Linked DNA regions of Tamandua tetradactyla. The protein of the gene in region 1 purifies or fractionates together with the protein of each later gene. This does not show direct contact. Links are inferred from orthologs where the notes say so. Each region holds a gene or a part of one and is shown in the gene's direction. Other genes may lie near its edges.

Region 1 (6,998 bases):
TGTGTAAAATATAAAATGAAGGGATAAGGCATATTAAGACGGCTTTAGGCTGCAAGTAACAATGACTTAACTATAAGGACATTTAATCTAATACATTATTTTTAGATGAGTCTTATCTCATTGTTGAAGGCAATCTTCTCAGTTGATTGTAGAAGATGTAATCAACTTAACGATTATTTAAATCCATGAAATATCCTCAAAGTAACAATCAGGCCAGTGCTTGTTTGAGCAAACAACTGGACACCATAACCCGGCCAAGCTGACACATAAACTTAATCATCACAACCAGTATATAATAATATATTTTTTATTTAAAAAATATATAATAGATTTTTTGTGCATACTGACCATATTTCACATAACGTTGATAAATTTATTACAGTAACTTCTTTGTAGAGTCCTTAGGATTTTCTATATAGAGTATCATGCCATCTGTGAATAAAGACAGTTTTACTTTATTCTTTACAGCTTGTGGAGTAAGTTTCATTCTAAATGCAGTTCGACAGATATGGATTGAGAGTGGAAGCAGGAAGAGTGAGGAGGCTGTTACAATAATATAGGTGAGATGATGGTGGTTTGAACCAAGATAATAGAGACCAAGGTGGTAAGAACTGAGAATCTGAGAATATTTTTGAAGGTAGAGCCAACAAGAGTTGCAGATGGATTTGATGTGGGGTGTAAAAAGATAGAGGAGTAAAGGATGGCTCTGGAGGTTTAGGCCCGAGCAACTGAAAGAAATGTGTTGCCCTTCACTGAGATGGGGGAAACTGTGAGAGGAGCAGGGTTGAAGCAGAAGGTCAGGAGTTCAGTTTGGATATTAACTTTGAGGTGCTTATTAAATATTCAGGTTGTGATGGGAACAGGCAATGGGCCAGGGGCCCACGTCAGGGGTGGGGTCTGGAGAAGAGAGAGAAATCTGTGGAGTTAGTGGCATACGGATGATATCTAAGTATACTGGATTGGCTGAGACAGGGAGTGAGGTAGATAATGAAGAGACCCAAGGACCAACCGAGGAAGGATAGAGCAGTTCACTATTTAGTGATTGGAGAGATGATGAGGAACTAATAAAAATGGGAAAAAGAAGCCAGTGCAGAGGCTCCACTCAGAGCCTTTACCATTCTAACTTGCATCGTGATTCTCTAAACTAGAGTGTACAGGAGGGTAGAAAGTCTTAAAGAAAAAAACTAACAAATAAAATATATGCTATAGTATTATAAACAAGAGATCCAAGTTCAGTGGGGCCTGAATCTTATATGAAGAATGACGACTAGAAAATTACACAAAGCCAGGTGTGAAAGAGAGTATCAATTTAGAAGGAGAAATCACAGCACAACTTGAGAACTCAAACAATTATAATTTTTTAAAGGTGACAACTACCACAAACATCACAAATCCAGAGAAGTAACATATTTGTTAATGTTCTGAAACACTTCCATAATGTTTTCTCTTTTTTTTTGGCTGACAAATTACTCTTTAGTTGCCTCTTTTTTTTTTTTTAACATGGGCAGGCACTGGGAATTGAACCCAGGTCCTCTGGCGTGGTAGGCAAGCGTTCTTGCCTGCTGAGCCACCGTGGCCCGCCCTTTGGTTGCCTCTTTATATGACAATTTCATATTATCATTTTCCATAATTGATTGATGACACTCACTGACAACAGGGGATGGTAAGTGTCCTACCTAGGGAGACCTGCAATAAGTTAATTATGCACAGAAGGAGCAGTGTCACTTACATACATCTTATTAAACCCAAATGTTCCCAACTAGATTTCCTCTGCCAGATCCAAATGCCAACAGACATAGTGTGAATTGCAAAGAAGGGAATTAGAGTGGAGAGAGTGGTTGGAACCAATTGCAGTAACAATATTATATTGGCAAATTTTGACCATGTGAGTACATTGCTAGCTACTCTTCCTGAGTCATGGAAGAGACCTGGTGAATCAAAGAGACATGAAACTTAAGCTCCATTAGTTCCATGGTAAATTAATCACACCTTTGATGACACTGCAACTAAGGTACACAAAGCAAGAACAGGGCAAAGGGCACTGGAGCTGGGAGTTGTAATTCTAAAATAGGATGCTCTAAGTTGATGACAGTAAACACACCTGAAGGAGTGATGCAGCATGCCTTGTGGATGTCTGTAAGGACTGCATTCTAGAATTTAGATACAGGTAATTCTAAGCAGAAAAGCCCTGAAGCAGATGGGAAAAGCAAAGAGGGTAGTATAACTAGAAAATATGGAGGCTAGGGCCCAGAGAGGGTGAAACTTGCTTCTGGCCACACAGCAAATCAGAGGCATAGCAGGGACTGGAACCCAGATTTCCTGTCTTGGTATTGTAAACGGGCAGATGGCTAAACCAAGGCCCCCTCCCGGTTTCTGTTGGCTTGTCTTATAGCTTCCATCCCTAATTCCAGGGCTCCCGCAGAGCTAAGAGCACCTCTTACTACTCCGATCACAATGCACAGCCTGGGTGCTCAAGCGCTGACTCGATCTCAGGCTTCGCCCTAGGGCTTCACACCACAACACCACAGCTGGCTCTGGCATTTCTGTTTTTTTTTTTTTTTTTTTTTTAACATTTTTCTTGCAAAATATATATACAAAAAAAAAGCAATAAATTTCAACCTACATTGTAACAAGTAGTGATAGGACAAACTTCAGTGTTTGACATGGGTTACAGTTCCACAATTTCAGGTTTTTCTTTCTAGCTACTCCAAGACACAGGAGACTAAAAGAAATATCAATATAACGAGTTAGGTTGGTCATTCACCAAACCCTATCTTCTCTAATTCTCCCTCTCCCCCCACCCCCCTCCCAATCTTTAGAGTTATTTGCCCATTCTAACTTTTTCATGTTGGAAATGGGTGTCGATAATATGGGACGGGGGGATGGAACTAGTTGATGTTCTTGAAGAGGCTGGCTCCTCTGGATTTCAGGACTTACCTGGCTTAGGAAACCATCTGGAGGTTGTAGATTTCCAGAAAATAAACTTAGTACATGAAACTTATATACAATCTCAGACAGAGCCCTAGGTATTCCTCAGGGTTAACAGGAATGGTTTTGTTTGGGGTCTGGCAAACTGTGGAAATTAGCAATACCTAGCTAAAGCTTGTGTAAGAGTAGTCTCTAGAATAGCCCTTTGACTTCACTTTAACTCTCAGTCACTGATATCTCACTCTGTTAGGTTTCTCTTTCCCTTTTTGGTGAGGAAAGTGCAGGTGATCCCACAGCGCCAGGGCCAGGCTCATCCCCTGGAGTCATGTCCCACATTGCCAGGGAGACTTTCACCCCTGGATGTCATGTCTGTAGGGAGAGGGCAACTATCTTCCCTGCAGAGCTGAGCTCAGAGAAAGGCCACACCTGAGCAACAAAAGAGGTCCTCTGCTATAAACTCTTAGGCCAACTATAGATAGTTTAGCTTCTCTGCTACAGAAACAGCTGGCTTCGTTCTTGCCTGCTCCAATCATAATGTGCAAAGTTGGGAGCGCCTTTTCTCAATACCACCTCACTGAATGAAACCAAGACTCAACTGTAACACAGCAAATTTAGGGTCTTGAGGCCGGAAAGTTTGAAGACGTTATTTGCCTCAGGCAAGCCTCCCACACCTAAATCCGTAGTCAGGCCCCCTACGTCCGGATATCCTTTCACGCAAGAAGGCGGACCCAGGAAGCTGTCAGACATCTTTTGTGTGGCATTTCATAGGAGACTTAATTTGCCCGCCCTTTATGCCGAACTATTTCATGCCCTTAGTTCTGAATTTATGAAAGTCATATAACGTGACTTTCTTTCAAAGCCTCTCTTTGAAGAAAATAGAAAGAACTTAGGCCTTGTAGTTATTTTATTATTATTATTATTATTTTTTTTTTTAGCCCTTCCGAACATGGCTATCTGAGGTGGCCGCCGGCTATAGCAAGGCTTCCGGTTTCCCAGCAGGACCGAGAAGTGTCGGAAGTTCCGGTCTCACAGGGCAGGCGGTGGCATTTCTTTTTCTCTTTCGGCGGCGGTTTCGCGAGTTTTGCTGCTATGTCCTACCCCGCGGATGATTACGAGTCGGAGGTAGGATGCTTGTAAGCGCGTGGTCGGGTCCACGACCTGGGCAGGGGCTCTCTGGGTGCTGGGCCTCGGGGAGAGATGGTGTCTCGCTTTCGCCTTGCCTTCCCGCGTGGCCCTTATGCAGTAGCCACAGCTCCGGCTTCCTTTGCCACCGTCTCCCCGCCCGCTTCTCTTGCCTGGTCATCTTCGTCCTTCCCTTTTTCGGGACCGACTACAGAGGCTGTACCCTGCCCATGCCTGTATCCCTAGCTTCCTACTTGACGCAGGATGCCCGTGGGACGAAGGTTGTGGATTCACAAATTGTTGACTATGTGTGTCTGTCGTTCTAGGCTGCTTATGATCCATATGCTTACCCGGGTGACTATGATATGCATACAGGTAAGACCTGTATATACATACAGGTAAGAGTTTGTTTGACTATCTTAGGGATTGGCACCTTTTTGAATGGCTCAGAACAGCTCTGATGGGTATCTCTTAAAAACTGCTACTTGATGGTCCAGGCTTGGAGTCAGTTATTAACTCTCAGTGGGAGGGTTGGGTAGAATCTAATAAACTAACCTCCTACTCTCCCCCCCCCCCCCCTTTTTTGTGGTCAGTCTAAACAGTCTCAGAAGAGAAGGATTTTTGACTGGCCAGACTGTGGTCTCTTTGTTTTAACTTTTAGCCGAAAAAGAGAATTTTGACGTGAAAAGTTGAAATGATTCAAACCATACTCAAATGAAGTATTTGTGGGGTAGAGGAGCTTTGAGGTTTTGTACAATTTACAAAGACTGGGCTTGATTTAGTACTTAGAACTTTACTTTCTAGTAGAGAAAACAAATAATTGAGTAAATCGTTTTAGTAGTGATAAATGTCCTGAAGAAATAGGGTGATGGGATGGAGAACAACTTAGGGAAGGTTATATCTCTTTGAGTTGTTTAAAGGGGAGTTACACTGAATTTCATAGACTTGAATTTAGCTCATGGTTACTTGGGGATGGTCCTGCCTTTTTCATTACATCACATAATATGGGTCTGAGAGCACTTTGTAAAGTATTTATTTATTTATTATATCCAACCTGTAGGAGATCCAAAGCAGGACCTGGCTTATGAACGTCAGTATGAACAGCAGACATATCAGGTGATTCCTGAAGTGATAAAAAATTTTATCCAGTATTTCCACAAAACCGTCTCAGATTTGATTGATCAGAAAGTTTATGAGCTACAGGCCAGTCGAGTCTCCAGTGATGTCATTGACCAGAAGGTGTATGAGATCCAGGACATCTACGAGAACAGGTATGTGCTGCTGGCCAAAATAACCTCACTGTGTGGTACTAGCCTAGCTATTCAGGCCCTACAGAAGGGGTGCTGTTTAATCATTTTCTGTGAAGAAACTGCCCAGGAGTCTCAGTAGGAAAGGGGAAAGTTATTTTGTTGGACTATAGCTCCAGGAATTTGTATAAAGCCTTAAATAACTGTAGCTATGTTAATAATTATAATGGCAGTTAATATGTATTATCAGTATGGATCAGGCAGTACCCAGAGTACTTTTGGACTTATTTGTTACCCTCCTCAGTAACCCTATGAAGTAGGTCCTGTTGTTTTCCTGTTTTTATAGGTGAAGAAACAATACACAGGGGATAAGTGCATGAGTATAAGTATGTAGAAGCTAAGTGGATGAGCTAGATTTTGAAATTATACAGTCTGACACCAGAGCCTAATTCTGAACTTCTGTGCTTTACAACCTCTCGGTGTGTGCTGTGGTGTGCCAGGCTCCAGAGTGGTTGCTTCTGGTGTTTTGAGGATTGCCTTCGTGTACTGGGCATTAGAGCTGAGGTGGATCAGTCCAGGGTGGGATAGTAAAGAAAGTCTTCGCCAAGGTAATAGAATTTAAGCCAGTCTTGGAAGGGTGAATGGTGAAAGCAATATGGTTCGAGGCCTACTGAGTCAATGACTAGGAGCACCTTAATCCCTGATCTGTTTCCTTCATTCCTCAGGCCTTTCTGATGAGAAATATATAGGCCGCTGCTATTTAATAGAAACATGATACTAGCCACTAGTGTAATTTAAAAATGTTCAGCAGCTACATTAAAAATATTAAAAGAAACAGTTAAAATTCATTTTAATGTTATTTAATCCCATGTACCCAAAATATAATTTTGCAAATAATCAGTATAAAAAAAAAACCATTGCAAGCTTCAGTTAGACGTTGCTTCTTATCATAACTTGCCAAACCTCAACCAAAACCATTCCTGTCAAAACTAAAGACTACTTAGGGCATTATATAAGATTCTACAAAGATTCCATCTGCTAGATTAACTTTCCAGAAACCTACAACCTCCAGATGGGTCCCTGGACCAGATAAGTCCTGAAATGCAGAGGGGCCAGCCTCTCCAGAACATCAGCTAGTTCCATCCCCCTATCTCATATTATTGACAGCCCCTTCCAACATGAAAAAGCTAGAATGGCCATAGCCCAGATACTCCTAAAGAGTGGGAGAAAGATCAAAGGTAATTGAGGAATTGTACAGAAAAGGTAGGGTATAGCAAGTGATTATGAGTGCTGAATCATATTGACATTTCTTTTAGACTCCAGTACCTTAGAGCGGCTAGAAGTAAAAACCTAAAATTGTGGAATTGTAACCCATACCAACTTTAAAATCTGTTCAATAACAACAAAGACTGTTAATGAGATCTTTTATGTCTTCATACTAAGTCTTCTAAGTTTAATGTGTGTTTTACATTTATCGAATATCTCAGTTCACATACTACATTTTCATTGTAAATACTTGATCTGTAGGTATTTCTTAAAATTTACAGTTCTAAAGGTAGACTCACATACCCAAGTTATTCGCTTCCTCAGTCGTGCCAGCCACATGTGGTTGGTACCTACTGTAATGGATAGCACAGAGGGATATAGCTGGTAGCTGAAGGCAAACATAGGGTAGATCCTTCCTGAGGAGAATGCTAAGTG
Region 2 (7,758 bases), on another chromosome or scaffold:
TACATTTCAGTCTTTTTCCATGTCAAAATCCCATTATTACAGCACCATTTGTTGAATTTTTGTTTGTTTGCTTTCTTTTTTCTTTGTTTGTTTGTTTTGGGACGTGCATGGGCCGGGAATTGAACCCGGTCTGCATGGCAGATGAGAATTCTACCACTACCCTTGCACTCTCAGTGAAGCCCTTTGGATGTGGTGATAAAGTGTTGGAGAGGGGAAGCACGCTATAATTTTATGAATAAAGCTCAGTTTCTCACTGCCCCTGAGTCTCTGAGCTGTGACTTTCAGAAATGTTTCTTCTTCTTTTTTTTTTAATCTTTTTCCTTGAGGGCAGACTTCTGTTATAGAGCATTCTCTGGGTATTTCAAAATGCTTACTTTTCTCCTAGACATATTTTTAAAATGGCACTTTTCTCCTCCCCTACTCAAAGCACAAGGGGATCTTTATCAAATCTTCACTGGAAGAACCTGGCAGAATTCCTGGAGGCAAAGCCTGTGAGCGCGTAGTGGCCCCTCCAAGATTGGCTCCCAGGAGCTTTTAATTCTCCAGGTGGTCCACAGTCAGCCTCCAACGATTTATAAAAGTTACCATCTAAATGTGCCAACCAGCTGCTGGTGATGGGTTAGATTATAAAGAGCCTACTGTGTGCTGTCTATAAAACCTATTTTAAATATCAAGATACTTATATGTTAAAAACAAAAGGATTAAAAGTGTTATCTTATACAAACGTTTAACAGGAAACTGGAGGGTACCTATATTAATAGCAGACAACATTGACTCCAGAACAGGGAATATTACCTAGGATAAAAAGGAACATTTTTAATAATAAAGGGGTTAATTCAGCAAAAAGACATGGCAATCCTAAATATATATGCACCTATTATACCTTCAAAGTAGATGAAAGAAGTGATAAAACTAAAAGGAGAAGTAGGTAAATATATAATCACAGTTGGAGAATTCAACATTTCTCTTTCAGCAATTAATAGAACAAGTGGACAGAAAGACAGAAAGGTTTCAGAAGATGTGAACAGTACTACTAACCATCTTGACCTGTCATTCTTTGAACATGCCACCCAATGACAGCAGTTGCTTTCCAAGTGTACAAGGAACATTCAAGTTAGACACATTCTAGGCCATGAAACACATCTCAATAAATCTAAATTTCTATGACTGCAATCACACAAAGTGTGTTATCTGTTGTGCTGGTTTGAAAGGATGTATGTCCCCTAGAAAAGCCATGTTTTAATCAAAATCCCATTTTCGTAAAGGCAAAATAATCCCTATTCAATACTGTATGGTTGAAACTGTGATCAGATCATTTCCCTGGATGATGTGATTTAGTCGAGTGGTTGTTGAACTGGATTAGGTGGAGGCGTGTCTCCACCCATGTGGGTGGGTCTTGATCAGTTTCTGGAGTTCTATAAAAAAGGAAACATTTTGGAGAATGAGAGTGATTCTGAGAGCAGAGCAGAAACACATAGCTATGAAAAGCAGAGTCCATCAGCCAGCAACCTATGGAGATGAAGAAGGAAAATGGCTCCTCAGAGCTTCATGAAACTGGAAGCCAGAAGAAGCTAGCAGATGACGTCATGTTTGCCACGTGCCCTTCCAGATGAGAGAGGAACCCTGACCATGTTCACCATGTGCCTTTCCAGATGAGAGAGAAACGCTGACTGTGTTTGCCATGTGCCTTCTCACTTGAGAGAGAAACCTTGAACTTCATCCGCCTTCTTGAACCAAGGTATCTTTCTCTGGATGCCTTTGATTGGACATTTCTATAGACTTGTCTTAACTGGGACATTTTCTCGGCCTTGGAACTATAAACCAGCATCTGATCAAATTCCCCTTTTTAAAAGCCATTCTGTTTCTGCTATGTTGCATTCCGGCAGCTAGCAAACTAGAACATCTGTCCTCAAGAAAATTAAATCCGAAACCAGTTACTGAAATGTATCTGGAATACCTCAAATATTTGGAAATTAAACAATACAATTTTAAGTAATCTGTGGGTCCCAGAAGAAATCATAATGAAAACTAGAAAATATTTTGACCTGAAAACATAACATATAATTGTGGGATGCAACTGAAGTAGTGGATAGAGGGGAATTTGTGGATATAAATTTAAGGCTTTAAATTCATGTGGTATCACCCTGTCCATTATAAAGTTACCTGTCAACTCTCATCAAATGGTTTCAGAAGTGTTGCAGGATTATTGCTTAGACTCATTATTTCTGAAGGACTGAAAAATGTTGTTTTCCTAATTTTATTGAACTTTCTGCATATAGTAGCTAGAATTCTTTTACAAAAAGAACTTTCTCTCACCAAATATTTGGCTATCTAAGGGTCAAAGAAGAAAAGCAAGATAAATTACTTTTTGCTTGAGTCTTTTATTTGCAGAATAACTGCCCAGCAATATTGAGCTGTGATTAACAAGGTTGTCTTTTTAAAAAATTTTTTATAACAATATGAACGTATAGATTTAAATATGCCATGTACATGAATCAAATGCAGTTTTTATTCTTTTTGAGGCTCAAACTGTCCTAGTGGAGGCCTTTGAAGATGGCCTGAGTCATTCTGCCCCCAAATTTTCAAATATACAGAAAAGTTAAAAGAAATTTTACAGTGAACACTCACAAACTCACCACCTAGATTTTATAACTAACATGTTTCTTGAACTCACATCATCAATCCCTTTCATTCTCATCAACCAGTTCTCAGTTTAGTGTGTACTCTTCCAGATCTTTTTGTACAGATTGTAAATACTGACCAAAATTATTCATAGAATATTTATAACATGATGCGTATTTTTTGTAATTGATATCATACTGTACATATCAATGTGCAATTAATAACCTTAACCCCATATGCATAAGTGCTAACCACGTTATCACATACAGATCTAGTGTGTCACTTACCTATTGTTAAATAACACATTACCCCTCAAATTGGGGGGTTGGGTTTAAAACAATAAACATTTATTATTTTGTGGCTCTTGTGCGTGAGAAATCCCGTAGCAGCTTGGGGGATGGCCCTGGCCCCCCGCTTCTCAGAGTTGCATCAAGATGTTGGCTGCAGGGCAGGTACCCGAAGCTGCTGGAGGCAGGAGGCCCTGCTCCCAAGGCGTTCAGATGTCCGAGACTTCACTTCCTCCACCTCTGCGGCGTCATCACCCTGATGACGAGCTTCTTTCAGAGCCGGAGATCCAAGAGAGGGAGGGCCAGGCGGACTTATCAGACTCTATGACGGAGACCTGGAAGTCACATAACCTCATCTCTGCTGTCTTCTGCTCACCAGGGGCGAGTGACAAGCCCACCCACATCAAGAGCATGATCCGGCGACACCTTCTGCAGGGAGGAGTGCCCCGTGACTGAAGAACCGACCACAGACGCACTGCCACACTCACTTCTGAGCTTCCACTGACGACGGTCGCCCCACGACTCGGCGATCCCTCCAGGGCGAGACCGCCGTAGCCGTCCCCACCGCGCGCGCCCTGCACGCCCGCTGCACACACGCGCTGACCGAGCCTGGGCATCGCGTGCAGTGCCTCTTACACGGCCGAGGGGCTTAGTGCTTTTTCTAGAAGCTAAGAGACAATGTTCCTATTCTCTCTGCAGAAAAGGCCATGCCAAGTCCGTTCAGTGCAAAATCCTAGGGAGCAGCTGCTCCGCGCAGGGCGAGCGACGCTGCAGAAGTCTCCCCCGCGTCCAGCTAAGGTCAGCCGTCTTCAAGCTTTTTGAAAAGCTTGGGTTCATATTTGCTTCTCATTCACTGACCTGTCCCCTTCCAGCACGTTCCATAAGAAGAGGGTTGGCAGAAGCCAACGATTTAAGAAAACGAGGTGAAACTAGAAATGGAGAGGATCCTTTGGTAATGAAGAGAACTAGCTCGCTGCCGGACCCTTCTGGGAGAAGGGCTCCCAAGATAGGTCCCACGTGCCGCGCACGTCAAATGTGCGTCTCACTGCGCAGATGGGGAAACTGAGGCAGCGGGGCTCGGGGACTTGCCCCGGGTTACACAGCTGACAGGATGGGGAGAATTCAAACACAGCAGACGCAGCCACAGAACCCTCGTTCTTCTTAGTATGATCGAAATATCGCACATTCAGCGGTTGCTGTGAAGCTTCGCAAGGAAAACCGAAATACAAACCCGGGCAAACCTCCCCTAAGCCGCCTCAGCTCACCCCTCCGACGCTCCCGTGTGGCTTCCGGCCCCGCCCCCCGAGGCCACGTGATCCGCCCGGTCTCGCGGCCGAGGGCGGAAGTCTCGGGAGTCCGAACCATCGTGAAGTGAGAATAGGGAGACGGCAGGAGTACAGCAAGCACTGTGCGATTGAGCGTACACGGTTAAACCACGTCTCATAAATTTTTGTTTTGGCCCAGGCAGCCATGTTTCCAGTACTGTTAGTGGCCTCTGCCTCTCCACAAATTCCTTTCCTGTTTTGGAATCGTCCGTTCTCTCGCTCTGTCAGTAGACAAGTCTAAGAGCCGAATGTAATGGGGGAATTTCGTAATGTTAGCGAAGTGATTTGTCTAGCTAAAAGCTATGGCATCAACCAAAGTCGCTTTTCGAACTTAGAGTTTTCCTAATATTAATATTTTATTTAAAGTTTAAATTTCATAGAAGTTCGTTTACAAAGATAATTTCTTAAGTCTCCCTTCGGCGTCACAAATAGTACAGTCCGCCGTAGCGCCCCATGGGAAAAGGAAGGGAGTGGTTGCCATGTTGGATTGAACCAACCCGCCGTCTCAAATGGGGTAGTTATGGTGCACGTTGAGTTTGCCGAGCGATGAAAACCTTGATGATTAGAATTGGCAACATAGTGGTCATACTGATATAGTTGTAAGGATTGGTATGCATGTCGTTTACACTCTAGGTTTTGTCAGTCGCTGTGGGAGGGGTGTGGGTGCCCCCCTCGGTCCTGGGCGCTTTGGTGCGGACTTCCCGGGGCGGACGCACATGGCTCGGGAGTAGGAGCCGGCGAGGCGCGCGGTGCGACCTGGGAGAATCGGAAGCGTGGCGGCGGCTGGGTCTGAGGAGAGGGAGGCCGCGCCCGGGCCCATGCAGCACGCGGAGAACGTGGCGGTGCCCGAGGCGGCCGAGGACGGGGCCGAGCCGGGGCAGCCGCAGCCCGCCGCCGAGCAGCCGCTGGAGGAGGAGCCGCCGCGGCCCGCCGGGCCCGCGACTCGGGAGGCGGCGGTGACCGAGGACAAGCCGGAGGCGGCGGCCGAGCCCCGGCCCGAGCTTGCTCTGAAGGCAGAACCGGAGGTCGAGGAGAAGGAGGCGGACGAGGCCGCCGCGGCCCTCGGCGCTTCCCCGGCTTCGTCTCAGCCGCCCTCGCCCGCGTCCGAGGAGGAGCCGCCCAGGTCGCCGCCCGGGTCCCCCGCCCCAGCGCAGGGGCAGGCGCGGGAGGAGGCCGGAGGCGAGGCCCCCGAGAGCCGGCCCCAGGCCCCGTCGCCGGAGGCGGGCGTGGACGCGGAGAAGGCGGAGGAGGCCGAGCCGCAGGCGGTGCAGAACGGCGACGCGGACGAGCCCTCGTTCAGCGACCCCGAGGACTTCGTGGACGACGTGGGCGAGGAAGGTGAGGCGGGCCCGCGGCCCTCTTCTCTGCCCTCTCGGTTTCCGAGATCTTAGTCGGGGTGTGAACGACGGCGTCCCCACGTCCCTCCTCCCGGGACAGCTCGAAGAGAAAGTTTTAGAGCCGTGCGGTGTTTGCGGAGAAGTCCCGGGTTCTGGAAACACGCCCAGGTGTCCTCTGACCGCGTTAGAAGCCGGCAAGGGAGGTGGGAGCGCCCTCCATCCTCCATCCCTCGTGGGGAGCCACTCTCGGCCCGGACAGCCTGCCCGCCTTCAGCTCTGTTCTGCCAGGACAGATTAGAAACGGCGTGGCGGGGGTCCCCTCGTCTGCGTCCCCGCCGCAGATCGGGGCGCGGGCTGGGGTTGGCTGCCTAGGCAGACCTCAGGGACGGACCCCGAGGCGGGGACCCGCAGAGGTGGAGCCACAGGGCCCTCTCTCCCAGGTGTGACAGCTTCCAGGTGTGCAGGCGTGAGTGCTCTCAGAGGTCGCCAGCCAGGCCCCCAAATGAGCTGCAGGAAAAGCGGGCTCTGACTGCTGAGTGTGGGCTGGTTCCTACCCCACAGTGCGGGCTCACCCCTACCCCACAGTGCGGGCTCACCCTACCCCACAGTGCGGGCTCACCCTACCCCACAGTGCGGGCTCACCCTACCCCACAGTGCGGGCTGGTTCCTACCCCACAGTGCGGGCTCGCCCTACCCCACAGTGCGGGCTCACCCCTATCCCACAGTGCGGGCTCACCCTACCCCACAGTGCGGGCTCACCCCTATCCCACAGTGCGGGCTCACCCCTATCCCACAGTGTGGGTTGGTTCCTACCCCACAGTGCGGGCTCGCCCTACCCCACAAGTGCGGGCTCACCCCTATCCCACAGTGCGGGCTCACCCTACCCCACAGTGCGGGCTCACCCTACCCCACAGTGCGGGCTCACCCTACCCCACAGTGCGGGCTCACCCTACCCCACAGTGCGGGCTGGTTCCTACCCCACAGTGCGGGCTGGTTCCTACCCCACAGTGCGGGCTCGCCCTACCCCACAGTGCGGGCTCACCCCTACCCCACAGTGCGGGCTCACCCCTACCCCATAGTGCGGGCTCACCCTACCCCACAGTGCGGGCTCACCCTACCCCACAGTGTGGGTTGGTTCCTACCCCACAGTGCGGGCTCACCCTACCCCACAGTGTGGGTTGGTTCCTACCCCACAGTGCGGGCTCACCCTACCCCACAGTGTGGGTTGGTTCCTACCCCACAGTGCGGGCTCACCCTACCCCACAGTGCGGGCTCACCCCTACCCCACAGTGCGGGCTCGCCCTATCCCACAGTGCGGACTCGCCCTACCCCACAGCGCGGACTCGCCCTACCCCACAGTGCGGGCTCGCCCTACCCCACAGTGCGGGCTCACCCTACCCCACAGTGCGGGCTCACCCTACCCCACAGTGCGGGCTCACCCTACCCCACAGTGGGGGCTCACCCTACCCCACAGTGCGGGCTCACCCTACCCCACAGTGCGGGCTCACCCTACCCCACAGTGTGGGTTGGTTCCTACCCCACAGTGCGGGCTCACCCTACCCCACAGTGCGGGCTCGCCCTACCCCACAGTGCGGGCTCGCCCTACCCCACAGTGCGGGCTCGCCGTACCCCACAGTGCGGGCTCGCCCTACCCCACAGTGCGGGCTCACCTTACCCCACAGTGCGGGCTCACCCTACCCCACAGTGCGGGCTCACCCTACCCCACAGTGCGGGCTCACCCTACCCCACAGGTGTCTGCCTCCAGAGGTGTCTGAGCAGGACGTGCTGGGCCGAGGCCCTGCAGAGTCCTGCTAAGCCTATAAAGCAGGCTGTCATCATTCTCTTGCAAATTATCTTTCCACATTTGCTTCAGTTCTACCTTGAATGACTTTCAGGCATTTCTGCTTCTGTCTGAGGTCCTGTTTCTTAAAGTGAGTTTTGTTGATGGCTGATCTCATTGTTTTTATTTCTTTTGTTTTGTTTTGTTTTTAGCTTTTATTTCAGCAAGCTGGAACCCCATCCATGGATTCATCTACCTATTGACTTTGTACTAAAGAGAAAAATGAAAACACTGTATTGAAGTAGACAGTGATAAACCAAGAAAATAATATCTTAACACGTGGTGGTCAGATGCAAAGTTTTTTGTGAGGTTGTGTCTTTTCATAGAGGTTCAGTCACAATCACACA
Region 3 (6,910 bases), on another chromosome or scaffold:
GACTTCTCTGGAGAAATTATTGAGGAGTGTGGGTTGACATATTTCAACTGCTAATAGGAACAGAAACTGTTAACCTAAGTTCTGTGAGGAACGAAATAGAAAATCAGGTTAAAACAAAGGCTAGGTGAGATCACAAGCATGCACTAGGGAGGCCTTCAGACACAAAGGAAAGGACACTAATGTGGGCCATATGTAGAAATAAAGAACAAGGTTAAACATAACTACATAGAAAAATATAAAAGCCAGTATCATTGTGGTGTTCATTTGTAGCACTTCTCTTTAACTATGATCTAAATAGCTAACAAATGAAACAAAAGTTATTGATCTCTGTTAATGTACCCATGGAGTATAAAGATAAAGTCTGTGAGAATAACGATGTAAAAATGGAGGAACCGTGATGTACATAGACACGCAGATGTATGCGATACAAATGAAGTTGGCATTATTCAAACTAGGTCGTATAGTTCTTGCAAGAACTACTTCAAAGGTGTGATTCATGTACAAAGAGTGTTTAAGTCCAGGGTACAGGGGGGAAACTGCTATTGCATGCTATGGGCTATGTTTAAAAGGAAAATATCAGCACTGCCACAGCAACAGCAGAGATAAATAATGGGGAGGAACAAGAGTTAAGAGGAGGTTTAGATTTCCTATTTGGCGAGGGTGTGTTTATTGGTTTTCTTTCTCTTGGAAACAATTAAATTATTTGAAATTGAGAGTATTGATGGACTGTGGATTTTGAGCCCTATACATGATTCCTGATGAATGCAGATGACTGAAGGATGCACTGACTGAGCAGTAGATTGGCAAATGATGGTGTAAACTTATGAAGAAATGTTGTGCTGGTAAAAAAAAGGAATGCAGTTGTGAGGCAAGCAATGATGTGAATGAATGTATGGGACATTTGGTGAGGAAAATAAGCCAGAAACATAAGAACAACAATGGTATGGTCTCCTTTAGAAAATTTTTACAAGAAAACAGGGGCCTAGATTGTAAGATTTAACAGCAGACACATTTAATCCAGTGGCAATTATTATTTCTGGATTTTGAAAGGTTGTTTTATATGTATATAAACCTGATATATATATATATATATATATATATATATATATATTGATTTATATGTATAAATAATATATTTATTCTATATGTTTATATATGTAAATATATATAATATATATTTTATATATATATAACCTGATATTTAGAGATAAGAACGAAGCTAATCAGGTTGGGTTAAATTCAGAACACAGGGGTAATGAAGACATTATCTACATTTTAGAACCACACATACTCTTTAGGACCAAAGGAAGAAAGGTTTATTTGGTCTGGAACCAAAATTTTCTGTAACACATAATCTAACTCAACCTATCAGTATATTGAACAACTAAAATACAGGGAGCCCAGAATAAGAAAGAGGTCCTTTAATCCTGTATAGCCTAATGTAATGCCTGGATACATCCTAGAGTATATTAAGCAGATAATCAAAAAGTATTGGCAAAGTCCCTTGAGGAATGGAAAAAAATATATGAAACTATTAAACTTTACCATCAGGAAATTTCCCGATATTGTGTCAAACTTTAGGAACACCCAAATTAATAGTCCATGTCCTTGATCTTGAGGTTTACTACTGTGAAGCTTATGTAGGTAGCAGAGAAGCATAGTCTACCTATAGGTATGCCTAAGAGTTACTTCTGGAGGACCTCTGTTGTTGCTCAGAGATGACCTCACTCTCTCTAAGCCCAGTACTGCAAGTGAAATCATTGCCTTCTCCCCTATGTGGGACATGACATCCAGGGGTGAAAGTCTCCCTGGTGATGTGGGAGAGGACTCCCAGGGATGAATCCAGACCTGGCACCATGGGATCAACAATTCCATCCAGACCAAAAGGGGGAAAAGAAGTATAACTAATAAAGTATCAGTGGCAGAGAGAGTTCAAATAGAGTCAAGAGGCTACACTCCGGAGGTTGTTTTTCCGCAAGCTTTAGTTTGCTACCTACCACAACCTGCCAAACTCCAACCAGGACCATTCCAGCCAATCCTAACGCACACCTAGGGCAATATATAAGATTCCACAAGGTTTCCATATGCTACTGTAACTTTCCAGAAACCTACAACCTCCAGATGGGTCCCTGGACAAGGTAAGTTCTGAAACCTAGAGGGCCCAGCCTCTCCAAAACATCAGATAGTTCAATCTCCCTACCCCATATTAGTGACAGACTGTTCCAACATGCAAGAGTTAGAATGGCCATAGCCCAAACATCCCTAAAGAGAGGGAGAGAAAGAGCAAAGGGGATAGTAGAGTTATACAGAGAAGATCAGATTTAACAAATGAATATGAATGCTGAATCATTAAATTGATATTTCTTTTAGTCTCCAGTATCTTAGAACAGCTAGAAGTGAAAACCTAAAATTGTGGAATTGTAGCCCATGTCAAACTCTGAAATATGTTCTACAATTAATTGTGGTGCTGCGCTTTGAAATTTATTACTCTTTTGTATATATGTTATTTTTCACACACAAAGAAAGAAAAACTGTCAATTGTGGTGATAAAAATTAGTCAAGCCTTCTAGCCTCCTATATTCTGGCAAAGCTAGAAGGAAAAATCTGAGAGGATCGTATGGTAGCCCATGACAAACTCTGGGATCTGTCCTGTAACTACTTGTTGAAGAGTGCTTTGAAAACTACTGCTTTTTATTTCTTTGCTTTGTATATATGTTATACAGGTAAATTAATGAACCAGGTAAATTAATGAAATACAAAGGAAGGGAGAAAAGGGAGGAACTGAGGGTCAAAAATCATATACAACATAGAGAAAAACAGATTGTCCTTCCACATCAATACTGCTTTAAATGTAATTGGTCTGTATTTTTCTTTTCTCTACTGTCTTTGCCTGGTGTCAGTGCTAGGTGATGCTGGTCCCGCAGGGTTAGTTAGGAAGTGTGCTCCCCTATTCAATTTCTCTAAAAGATACGTAACAATTGCTGTTAATTGTTTTTAAATTTTTGGTAGAATTGACCAGGTAAGTCATCAAATCTTGAGCTTCTCTTTGATGGTAGGGTTTGTTTACTGATTCAATGTCTTCATTTGATTTAAGTCTGTGGTAGGATGAATTATGTATCCCAACAAACACATGTCCTTAATCTCAATCTGGATGTGAACCCCGTGTATAAAGGGCCTTCGGAGATGTTACTTTTAGTTGTGGTGTGGCCCAGCTGAATTAGGGAGGGTATTAATCAGTTTCCTAGAGGCTTAATAGTATGAACCAGGAAGTGACAGAAGCTGGAAATGATTGCACAGTGTTTTGGGAGAAAGAATACAAGCCAAAGGAACTCCAGGATTGTCAGAAGCCAGCAGCAGAGTGCTACCATCTTTACAGGAAAAAGCAAATTCTACTAAAACCTTGATTGTGGAATTCTTCTTTCAGCCTCTAAACTGTGGTTCAGTAATTTCCCATTGTTTGAGACAAAACCAGTTTGTGGTATTTGTGACTGCAGTGCAGGCAAAATGAGACTGTTCTATTCAATCTTTCTATTTCTTTCTGTGTCAGTTTGGTGGTTTGGGTGTTTCTGGAAATTTGTCCAAGTCACTTAGGTCATATGATGTGTAGCAATACGGTTGTTTGTGTCATCCTCTTATAATTGTTTTAGTTTGCACACAGTTGGTAGTAATGTCTCCTTTTTCATTTTTGATATCTGAAGAAATTCTTCTTTCCCATTTGAAATGATCTCAGCACCCTTGCCAAAAATCAATTGACCCTAGATGGGAGGGCTTATTTCTAGGCCTTCAATTCTATTACGATGGTCTCTATGACTACCCTTATGTCAGAACAAAGGCAACTAAGAAACTCATCCCACAAGAATGATCAGAAAGAATAAAGTGCCAAGGAATAAATTTAACCAAGGGGGAGAAGACATGTCCACTGACAACTACAAAACGTTGCCAAAAGAGATCAAGAGATGTCAATAAATATAAAGATATGCAGTGTGCATGGATTAGAAGTCTTAAGGTTGGTAAGTTGTCCTGATTACACCAAAAGGTCTAAAGCTTCAATGCATTCCATATCAGTGTCCTTAGATTATGTTTTATGGAAATAGAAATTCCCATTCTAAAATTCTAATGAACTTCAAGGAATCCAGAACAGCCAAGACAGTTTTGAAAAGGAACAAAAAAGTTAGAGAAGTCACACTTCCATTGACAAAATCTACTACAAAGCTACAGAAATGAGAACACGTGGGGTCAGAAAACTGGATACCCACATGGCTGTTATAACAGAATCAAGGAAATAAGAAGTGCTGATGAGGATGCAGAAAAGTAGGCACCCATGCACACTTTTAGTGGGATTCTAAGTTTACCTCTCTTGCAAAGAGTTGGGTGGAGCCTCAGAAAGTTGAACTCAGAATGACTGTATGAATTTCCAATTCTACACCTACATTTCTATGTGGCAAAGCATTGAAAGCAAGGACTCGACTAGATACTTGGACACCAAAATTCATGGCACCATTATTCATAAACTCAAAAACATGGAAACAATTAGCGTCTATCATCAGAAGAATGGATTAACAAAACAGGCTTCAAAAATATAATGGACTATTATGCGCTCACAAGAAGGAATTTAGTACTGATACTCTCTAGAATATAGATGAACTGTGAAGACATGATGTTGAATGAAATACATCAGACAAAAAAAGACAAATATTCTATGATTTCCCTTATATGAAATACTTAGAATCACCATGTCCACAGATCAAAATTAAATGACAGATTACTGAGGGTGAGAAGCAGGGATGGGAAAATAGTTTTGTGCAGAGTTTCTATTTGGGGTGATCAAATAATTTTGGTAATGGATGCTGTCGAGGGCAACACAACAGTGTGAATATAATAAATACCAGTGACGGGAAATTTTTAATTGTATTAAGGGCGTCAGAACTAAAGTTGAAAAAGAAAAAAGGATCCCCTTGTTCAAATCCAGAGTCCTCTCTTTTTACTCATGCTATGTTGCTTCAATGTTGCTTCCCAGGACTACTATTTCAGGATCTGTGTCAAGTATTGGAAAGTTCATTGACTCCTCCATTCACCATCATCATGACTTAAATGTGGAGAGTGCATGTGTCTCAAAAGTGGTTGAGCAGCATTTCTTCATATTACCATTTGGTCATTTATAACATGAGGAAAACAGGCAAGTAAATCCTAAAGTTCCTTCCAGTTATAAGTATCAATGCTTCTCCTGTTTCTGTCACCTCTGACTGATGGCAAGCAGAGATGCAGAAATGAGAGCAGGCAGTAGGGTTGGGGAGCCTCTGGGAGTGAGTTCATATAAGAGTAGGTTGCCGGTCATACCTGCTTTGTAGAGATGATAAATTTACAGTGTGCTGAAGGAGTCATGGGTAAGAGTTTATATAAAATTGCAAAGGTGCTTACAAAGCCAGTTGCTATGAGCAAGGGGGTATAGCTCAGGGGTAGAGCATTTGACTGCAGATCAAGAGGTCCCTGGTTCAAATCCAGGTGCCCCCTACCATTGGTTTTTCTAGCCACAAAACCTATCGCTTGCATGCTCAGACTTCTACTGGCTGTCTCTCCCAGGGCAAACCACGGATAAACAGTAACTTATAACCCCAAATCATCACCCTCAGCTCCCCTCTTCCTATCAAGACAGCATGGCTCACTGCACTGGCAGTCAGACATAAGAGGGCACATTATAGCATTCAAGATCTCATGTAGGGCAGATTTTTCACTCTGGGAATCTCGTTTCTAACACACCATGGCTCTCTCCTATACTTGTCCCAAACCCATAAGACTGAGCCCTGGCTTAGGTTCTGTACCAATGAAACAAGGGGTCTACACTTGTAACTTTGTGAAACCATTTGAACTATAGCCCATTTCTATCTTTACTGGGGGCCCAGAGGAGGATTATCTGTGTATTTTGGCAAAATCCAATGACCAGCCCTCAGACTAAACAGAAAAAGTGATAGGTAATGGGCTGAGGGTCCTACAGGCATATCTTTTCTTGCCCCACTGCGATCTCAACCCAAGAACTGAGGTTGGGAAAACTCCCGATCTGTTGCTATGACTCATGCCTAGCAACTTCCAAGACACCAGTTCAGAGAAGAAGTGAAAACTGTTTTATAGAACTGAGTGTTACCAGACAGGTGAAAGGTAACAACTAATTTGCACTAGCATGCCAGGGGGTGTAGCTCAGAGGTAGAGCATTTGACTGCAGATCAAGAGGTCCCTGGTTCAAATCCAGGCACCCCCTTTCTTGTCTATATTTTTGGTAGCTGAGGCTACCCACATACTCTTTTGTGGGCCCAACACAAGTCTGAAGAGATCTCCACTGGTTGGAGTGAGTAGGAAACCCCAGTTTGGTAGCCAATGACACCCACATATCGCTTACATAAGTCCCACCCAAAGGCCTAAGTGTCCTCCACCAATTGTGGTTTCTTGGAGCAACCCACAGAACCTCTCTCTCTCTGGACTGCAAAACCTGAGGTCACAGTGATGTGACATTGATGTCTATGGGGATCATATCCTCAACCACACTGTGTTCCCTGAAGGCACATGCTGACGGGAAAGCCTCCCACCTCCTAATGTCCAGTACAGAGCACACATAGCAGCTCTCAAAAACTTTCTCTGAAACCAGGGCTACAGTCCAGGCAAATGTCAAAGGGGTGCACCAGCACAGAGACAATCTGGAAAGACTGGGAAAGATGCTTTAACTTATACTCCTAGCATTCAATGACTGAATACAGGCTAAATTTGTGAGAATCAAGAACAAACAGGAACAAGAATGAAGTTCTGATCCATGCGACAACATGGATGAAATTTTAAGACTTCATATTGACTGAAATAAGCCAGACACAAATGGGAAAATATGGTATGGCCTCAGCAGTGTGACAAATCAGAATAAGCAAAT

The links.
Region 2: the proteins of EIF3L (region 1) and EIF3B purify together in Homo sapiens (affinity purification with mass spectrometry; 8 studies listed by BioGRID and IntAct, counting the BioPlex papers as one, with this or other methods). This does not show direct contact. The link is inferred for Tamandua tetradactyla from reciprocal best matches to the Homo sapiens genes EIF3L and EIF3B.
Region 3: the proteins of EIF3L (region 1) and ZNF746 purify together in Homo sapiens (affinity purification with mass spectrometry; 3 studies listed by BioGRID and IntAct, counting the BioPlex papers as one, with this or other methods). This does not show direct contact. The link is inferred for Tamandua tetradactyla from reciprocal best matches to the Homo sapiens genes EIF3L and ZNF746.

The regions. Positions count from the first base shown.
Region 1 is NC_135333.1:30,217,403-30,224,400, forward strand, and holds the start of EIF3L (eukaryotic translation initiation factor 3 subunit L), read left to right. Parts: upstream 1-3,917; 5' UTR 3,918-4,017; coding exon 4,018-4,050; intron 4,051-4,376; coding exon 4,377-4,425; intron 4,426-5,110; coding exon 5,111-5,321; intron 5,322-6,998. UniProt on the Homo sapiens protein: Component of the eukaryotic translation initiation factor 3 (eIF-3) complex, which is required for several steps in the initiation of protein synthesis.
Region 2 is NC_135349.1:1,763,061-1,770,818, forward strand, and holds the start of EIF3B (eukaryotic translation initiation factor 3 subunit B), read left to right. Parts: upstream 1-4,689; 5' UTR 4,690-5,052; coding exon 5,053-5,572; intron 5,573-7,758.
Region 3 is NC_135327.1:194,005,696-194,012,605, reverse strand, and holds the start of ZNF746 (zinc finger protein 746), read left to right. Parts: upstream 1-3,873; 5' UTR 3,874-3,976; coding exon 3,977-4,006; intron 4,007-5,439; exon of another isoform or gene 5,440-5,511; intron 5,512-6,181; exon of another isoform or gene 6,182-6,253; intron 6,254-6,910.